2 linked regions of the Danio rerio genome follow. The protein of the gene in region 1 interacts with the protein of each later gene in a pairwise test. Links are inferred from orthologs where the notes say so. Each region holds a gene or a part of one and is shown on either strand. Other genes may lie near its edges.

Region 1 (3,824 bases):
CTTCACCTTTCCCTTTATAGGGTGGCACGGTGGCCCAGTGGTTAGCACTGTTGCCTCACAGCAAGAATGTCACCGGTTGTAGTCTTTTAAAAGGGCAGCGGTCGTTTATGTGCGTAGTTTGCATGCTCTTCCTGTGCTCGTGTGGATTTTCCCCGGGTTCTCCGGTTTCCTCCCACATTCTAAAAACATGCACAACAAGTGAATTGATCAATCTAAGGGTGCTTGCACATCTGTAGTTCGCTTCATTTGGTCTGCACCAAGGGCAATAAATGATACATTGTTGCATTTTCTGCCGTCGTTTTCTGTGTGTTTTCACACCACGCTGCTGGCTTTGGTCCGAACCAGTTGGAACAAACCAAAATGCAGTCATCTGATAAAATCCACTTTCTCATTGGCCAGATGTTGTTGAACATATTTCCTAAACTGCGTATCGATTGGTCAGAATTCATGTGCGGGAAAAAGCCAATGAACTCCCACAAGTAAACAAAACCAGCAGACACAAAATGTAGCTTTTTAATGGAGGGACGACTGCGCTGACTGATTGTATCCCTGCTTTAGACAAACTATACATTTTAAGAATGAAGCGCGGCCGCGGCTGGAAAACAGTGTTTTAATGCATCGCACGTCACTTCAGGAGGAGGCGTGAATTAATTTAGCTAAACTGCGACATGCTCATCTTGCGGAAATATTACCAACGATCCATCAGGTAATGTTTTCCCTCTCTCTCTCTTTCTTGGTAAAGCGCTGTCAACAAATATTTTTCCTCTATATCCCATAATGCACAGCGCATCGGCCTACGGCAGCTGACTTAGTCCGAAAGGCGCAGTACTTTTTGCGGTTGGACCTGTTTTAGTACGAATCAAATTCTCACCACAAATGAACCGCTCCAGGGTTCATTTGAAAGCATACCAAGAACACCTCTTCAAGCAGGTCTCAGTACGCTTATTTGGTCCGCTTTTGGTGCGCACTCGAGTACGATTGCTGCATTCTCACCTGCCCAAACGAACCGCACCAAAAGGGAAAACGAACTCTAGTGCGATTCAATCAAACTAAATAAGGCAGGTGTGAAAGCACCCTAAATTTAGCACTAAAGTCAATCTCTCATCCTGCAGCAATTCTCTTCATAGCATTCATTTCAGTCATCAGCTCTTATCAAGGAAGGAGTTGTCGAGATCTACCTGAGCTCAAGGCTCCCCTCTCGCCCTGCAAACGGGAGGGAGCCCAGGGCTCAAGGACCTTTTGAGCTCAGGGCTCTCTCCCGGGACAGCATGCCAAACTTGCTTATAATCAATCATCAGCTAAGTGTGAACTCTTGAAAGAACAGATTGATGCAGCTTCTCCTATCGCAGCAAATTCCGTTTTTACTGTTGATACTTGGCGCCAGTTAATCAGGAAGTGTTTTGTTTGCTTTGACTCGTTAGAAGGTAATGCTGCTTTATTCGCATGACTTTAATGTGATAATCCAGTTTTGCACATAAAGTTCATTCGCATTTTTGGATGGAAACAGCTATTGACTTGCCTAATTAACCCAACTTTACCCTAATTAACCTAGTTAAGCCTTTAAATGTCACTTTAAGCTGAATACTAGCATCTTGAAGAATATCAAGTCAAGTATTATGTGCTGTCATCATGGCAAAGACAAAAGAAATCAGTTATAAGAAATGAGTTAAAACTATTATAATTAGAAATGTGCTGAAAACATCTTCTCAGTAAAACAGAAATTGGTGAATGAAATATACAGGGGGGCGAATAATACTGACTTCAACCATGTATCTGAGAAAAACAAAGTATAGTAATGTCAGTTATTCCAATATTGTGTAACTTCACTCACTATGGCGGCACTTTGCCCTTGACGGCGCAGGCTGGTGTTTTGTCCTGCAGGTTCTGTAAGGACTGAGATCTCCTCATGCTGGTCTTCGCCGCAGCTCGAGCGTTATGACTCACAAAGTCCACTGTGTGTCCTCTCACATGCATCTGGACACACATCAACACACACACAGACCTCTGTTACGCAACACTGTCTGCAGGAGTGTGAATGAAGTGTTTGTGAGTGTAAGTGTGTGCTGAGTTAGTGTGTGTGTGTGTGTGTGTGTGTGTGTGTGTGTGTGTGTGTGTGTGTGTGTGTGTTTCTGACCTCAGAGTCTGAGTCTCCAGCAGCGGTCGGTCCACTGTCTGAGCGCCGCAGCACCGGTCGACCCCCGGCTCCACACACTGAATGAGCCTTCAGGAAGTTCTGATATTCAGGCTTCTTTAAGGGGCTTGTTTCCTGCACACACAAACACACACACACACACACACACACACACACTCTTACAGCTATCTTATTTTCATAGACATAAGGATGTTTCTACTGTACAGACTGTATATTCTCTCCTCCTGCCCTTAAACCAGCCCTCATTGGAAACAATCTGCATCTATGAGCCGTTTTATTCATATAGGGACCAAAAATGTCCCCACAAAGTCAATTTGTACTGGTATTACTATAATAATAATAATAATAATACATTTTATTTATAACGCGCTTATCTAAAACCCAAAGCGCTCACACACACACACACACACACACACACACACACACACAAAAACAAACATGATCACATGTAAAAACACAGTCAATCATACATTTGCACACACACACATACACACACTCAAACACACACACTTAAACAAAAGAACATTATCACAGATGTGCCCTCACCACACACACATACAAAAACAAACACATATAAAAACACATTCACACACACACACATTTAAACACATACACATGCACAAAAACACTCACACACACATAATGCTTGTGCAAATGCAAATGCTTGTGTGTCATTATAGTGGCAGATTTAAGACTTATATCCTATGCTAATGAGGAAGAGATGGTCACTAGTGGGCGGGGCTTTCCCACTCTGATGACATGTACAAAGAGAAAATGTCAATCAAAGTGTTTCTGTTTTTATCGAGAGGGATTATAAACAATAAAATGAATAAATTTTTACCATTAGAAGCTGCTTATATTCATACACTGCTGACACACAACTGTGTTTAAACCTCTTATGAAAGTAAGTTTTACATAATAGGTCTCCTTTAAACTTCTAATTCATTATAAAGTCCCTATACATGTTTCTTTATTTAACCAGATAAAAACCCATTGAGATCAAGATCTCATTTACAAGGGTGACCTGGCCAAGAGGTCTGCATCACATGATTTATATAAAAAAAAGAAAAAAATTTAATAATATTAATAATAAATAGAAAATTAATATAATATAAAAATACAGTTCAGTTTTCCAGCTTTACCACATTTCAGTATATTAAAAACACATGCATTGAGAAATGGACTGTTGTTGTTTGTTAAAAAGAATAGAGTGAAACGATGTCATTGGGATGAGCTCAGATATCTTTACTTCAGACTGAAGAGTATTTTAGGATGAGTGGGCGGCATGACTAAAGGCTCGCTTTCCTATTTCAGTTCGAACCCGGGGAACAATCAAATTATAAGATTCACTTGAGCGTAGGGCATGCTTTCTTTTAGACTTATGGAGAAGGGAACATAGGTATGAAGGCACCAGTCCCAGAAGAGCCTTGTAGACCAGAGTCATCCAGTGGGTGTACCTTCTTACACACAGAGAAGGCCACTCAGCTTTAGCGTACAATTCACGATGATGAGTAAGTCTTTGACAGCCTGTAACAAACCTTAGCGCACTATGGAGTTTAAAGGCTGAAGACATTTGTTTGAAGCATGCATATATAAAACATCACCATAGTCAATAAATGGTAAAAATGTTGCAGACACCAAATGTTTACGAGCTTTAAGAGAAAAGCAGGAT
Region 2 (4,457 bases), on another chromosome or scaffold:
TTTCAAGAATAAAAAAAAAATCTTTTTGTGTGTGTTTAACAGATGGAAGGATCTCGAAAGAGGTTTTAAACAAGTGAACAGTGAGTAAACAATGACAAAATTTTAATTTTTCGGTGAACTACCCCAACACATTTAATTAATAATGAGAAAATCCTTATCTTTTACACTTATTCTGAATTTATTTTTAAACAAATAAAATAATGCGTTTACTTGCACAAAAGCTGCTTCCTGTCCTTTGAAATATAATCCATAAAATTAACATGAATGCACCCGAAGTGCATTTTTCTGTGCGGAAGAAGAGAAAAGCACCAAGAAGACGTGATTTCAGCATGTTACATCAGATTTGCTGCACCGAGAGGTCAAGGCCACGCTGGCAGTTTGCAATAAATTGGAAGCATAATTGGTGTTTCACCTTATGTTTGCATATTTTGTTCATCAGCACCTCACGCATCACCTTTGCAGCATCACTGCTGACCTAACGATTCAGACTGTAGTTTGCATATGCTTATACCACACAACCCAGCAAATAATTTTGTGTTTAAAATATGTCTTATAGACTTCTAAACATAGACAGCTTGGCTAAAACAAGGCTAAACTTGGGCCGTCGGTGAAAATCTAACAGACATCTGCAAGTCGTCAAATAGACAGATTAGACAGACTTTATATGTGTAGTCATTAATTTCTGTTTATTTGATGACTAGTCTAGTTTTGGCCTATTCCTAGACATCTATTTAATTTTGCCTGACATCCCAAATTTAGCCTTGTTTTAGCCAAAACTACTGTGTTTAGACGTCTATTAGACATTAATTAAACATCTTTTAAAAACAAAAAAATGCTTGCTGGGAATGCAGCAGCTATGGCACTATTATTAAAAAAGTATCCACCAATCCCTTCACATATAATCAATTAAAATGACAGATTTATTTTTGGAGCATTATTAAATTCAAAACATCTAGTAGATTTCACACTACATACTGCATTTAATATAGTTCCACATTAGGGATATCCAGATGCGATCACGTGATAGGAACATGCAGTTTCAGACTTGATTTGAAGTGGACGTTACCTCCCGATTAAGTTTTTTTTTCCAAAAGCTGGAATGCTGGAAAAAAGTAAAATAACGGTTGTGCTATTACAAAAATTTACTGTAAAATAATGGTTGCAAAATTACAGAAATTTACCATAAAATAACAAACGTTAATTACAGAAATTTACCGTAATATAACACCCGTGAAATTACAGAAATTAATCATAAAATAACGGATGTTAAATTACAGAAATTTACCATAAAATAACAAACGTTAAAATACAGAAACTTACAGTAAAATAACAGATATTAATTTACATAAATTTATCGTAAATAATAGACATTAAATTACATAAATTTGCCATAAAGTAATGGATGTAAAATCACAGAAATTTACTGTAAAATAAAAGACATTTAAAAATTACATAAATTTACCGTAAAATAACGAACGTTACATTACTGAAATTTACTGTAAAATAACAGACATTAAATTACAGAAGTTTATCGTAAAATAACAGACATTAAATTACATTAAATTACAGAAGTTTATCGTAAAATAACAGACATTAAATTACAGATAGTAACCATAAAATAACAAACATTAAATTACAGAAACTTACTGTAAAATAACAGACACTAAACTACAGAAATTTACCATAAAATAACACACATTAAATTACAGAAATTTACCACAAAATAACAGACATTAAATTACAGAAATTTACTGTAAAATAACAGACATTAAAAAAATTACAGAAATTATCATTTAATGTGTTATTTTACAGTAAATATCTGTCTTTAACGCCTGTTATTTTACGAATTTTACAGCGGAAAAAATCCCCAGTAAAATAATGCAGTAGAGTTAGACCTCTGCAGTCTGGAAGTATTAAAAAGTTGATGACGACAACATTGCCATAGAAAACTGAAATATGTAAACTTGAGATTGCAAGAGGTGGAAAGAAAAAGACTACATTTAACTCGACAAACAAACAGAGTTGTTGCATGTTAAAAAATGGTAAATTAAATTAAAACATAAGGAACATCCTGCATTTGTTTCCTTGCTCTTCTTTATTCTCTCTTTATGTATTATTAAGGTATCGGATCGGGTTTCAGAATCGGTAGATACTCTAAATCAAATGACTCAAGGGCAAAAAAACCCGCTTGGGACATCCCTATTACACATGTATGATTAAGTCAATAACAGATATTATGTCTATTTGTTTTTAATCATAAATAGACTAGACACGCATGTTTGAACAGAAAATGTTATAGGTAATAATAAATGTTCCACTGTTTCAGTCAGTCACAAAAATCCACTATAAAAGTCCTTTTTATCACAGAGTCCTTGAAAACACATTTATCCGTAATTTCTCTCAGCAACATGAAGCCAAGGCAGCCTGAAATCCATCAACATGACTTGAAACCTTTCTGTTTTGCCCTGTAATCTATTAATAATGCATGTGAAGGAGGGGAAACCCCCAATAAATCCGTCCAGCCTCCCGCACAGAGCTTGAGTCATACCTTTTTTCCCCCCCCACATGGGTTCTATAATATAATCTACAGCAGCGGCAGTGAACACTTAGCACATTCATAAATAATTTCCAAAGCCCCATCTCGGATTTTGCCATAAGGCGGAAAAAAAAAAAAAAAAACGATCTGATGACAACACATGCTCAGCCAATAGAAAGGTGGCATTCACTTTGGGGATTATCAGGCTTATCTACAGGTCTTCAATGGGAAAACACTCAATATGTATCAGTTTGCATATAATCTAGAACACACATTTTAACTATTACACTTTCGCAATCAAAACAACTGACCCTTCTTGGAGATGCAGGAGATCATATAAACCCCCCTAATTGTGTTGGAGAACGCGGGCAACTCCTGCTTCCTACATCATCACGAGGGTTTTTCCTGCTGCAGTCCCGCTTTAAAGAGCATCACGAATTGAAGGCAAAAAGAGACAGGGGTGGAGGGACAGAAAACGAAGAAAGCTCCTTACCTTATGGTCTGCATCTCCTCGTCCGAAGCCTGGAAAAGGAAGAAGAGGAGATTACTGAAACGAACATGCGCCTGGTTCCTGAAGCTGCCAAGACATCACTGCGCAGTCTGAAGCACATACAGCTCTCTCTCTCTCTCCCTCTCCCTCTCTCTCTCTCTCTCTACCCAACAGTGCCAGTACACTTCTGCATCGTTCTCATGTGCGAGGAGGGGAGAAATCTTGACAGATTAAGTGCGAATGGAAAGCACAGTCGCAGCCAGAATGCAGATACACAACATCATACACGCCGCCCCCTCTTCTTCTTTCTCTCCTCCACGAAAGAAACTCACTCATCGAAAAGATCCACAGGATGTGAAAACAGACAACAGAGTGGAGAGAACGACCGAGGGTGAGAAAGAGAGAGAGGGAGATGGTGTGAGAGCGAGAGAGAGGTTGAGGAGGGAAACAGGTGGGCTCATCTGTTGATGAAAGGGATGGGGAGGCACTCGGGTTTCGCAGATCCACTGCGTGCCACAGCTTTCTTTCCTACTCGGTCTGTCTTTCTGCCACTCCATGAATAATGCAAGAGTCAGATTATGTCAGAGGAATTCACATTCTCATTCAGATTTAGTGTGCAGCAGTGACCAGGGGCCGTTCCAGCAGTCCTATTAATTCAACACCAGACAGGATGCAGGTGATTTAGCGTAGTATAATACGCTCAAGCTTATTCGATATGGCATGGGCCAATGTGTAAAAATCATGAAGCCAATGTGTTATGTTTGTACATTATGGTCAGTTTGGAAACTTTAAATGTCATTTCACTGTTAAAAATAAGTACAAATGCTTCCAACCCAGGCTCATTCTGAAAACGTACAGCTATATACATTTCTGGAGAGCGGCAAATATGTCCCAGAAGGTAAGTTTTTATACAGTAGTTTTTGTTTCACAAATCCACCAGAGGCTGTTGTGCATTGTAAAAAAAAATAAAAAATCTTTAAAAAAAAGGTTGAATGACTGGCAGCTTAGGCTGCCAAAAAAAAACCCATAAAATTACGGTAAAATTTCTTTGTTGAAATAAAGTGCAACAAATAATAAATCTACAGATATTTTCAATAAAATGTTTACAGAAAAAGACTGTTATTTTACAGACTTTTCCTTAATTATTACAATCAAATCCGTTCAATAAAGTTACACACTAAGAGTTTTGCAAAGAAACACTGTTATTTTACAGACTTTTCCTTAATTATTGCAATCAAATCCGTTCAATAAAGTTACACACTAAGAGTTTTGCAAAGAAACACTGTTATTTTACAGACTTTTCCTAGATTATTATGATCAAATCCGTTCAATAAAGTTACACACTAAGAGTTTTATAAAGAAACACTGTTATTTTACAGACTTTTCCTAGATTATTATGATCAAATCCGTTAAATAAAGTTACACACTAAG

Evidence for each region.
Region 2: the proteins of enkd1 (region 1) and si:dkey-174m14.3 interact in binary tests that used the Homo sapiens proteins (3 or more experiments, as listed by UniProt). The two-hybrid records come from large-scale screens. The link is inferred for Danio rerio from reciprocal best matches to the Homo sapiens genes ENKD1 and BEGAIN.

Annotation. Positions count from the first base shown.
Region 1 is NC_133183.1:3,674,679-3,678,502, reverse strand, and holds part of enkd1 (enkurin domain-containing protein 1), read right to left. Parts: intron 2,267-3,824; coding exon 2,135-2,266; intron 1,975-2,134; coding exon 1,832-1,974; intron 1-1,831. UniProt on the Homo sapiens protein: Microtubule-binding protein which regulates microtubule organization and stability. Promotes the stability of astral microtubules and facilitates the proper orientation of the mitotic spindle.
Region 2 is NC_133195.1:9,518,793-9,523,249, reverse strand, and holds the start of si:dkey-174m14.3 (uncharacterized protein LOC563117), read right to left. Parts: upstream 3,117-4,457; 5' UTR 3,059-3,116; coding exon of another isoform or gene 3,044-3,058; coding exon 3,030-3,043; intron 1-3,029. UniProt on the Homo sapiens protein: May sustain the structure of the postsynaptic density (PSD).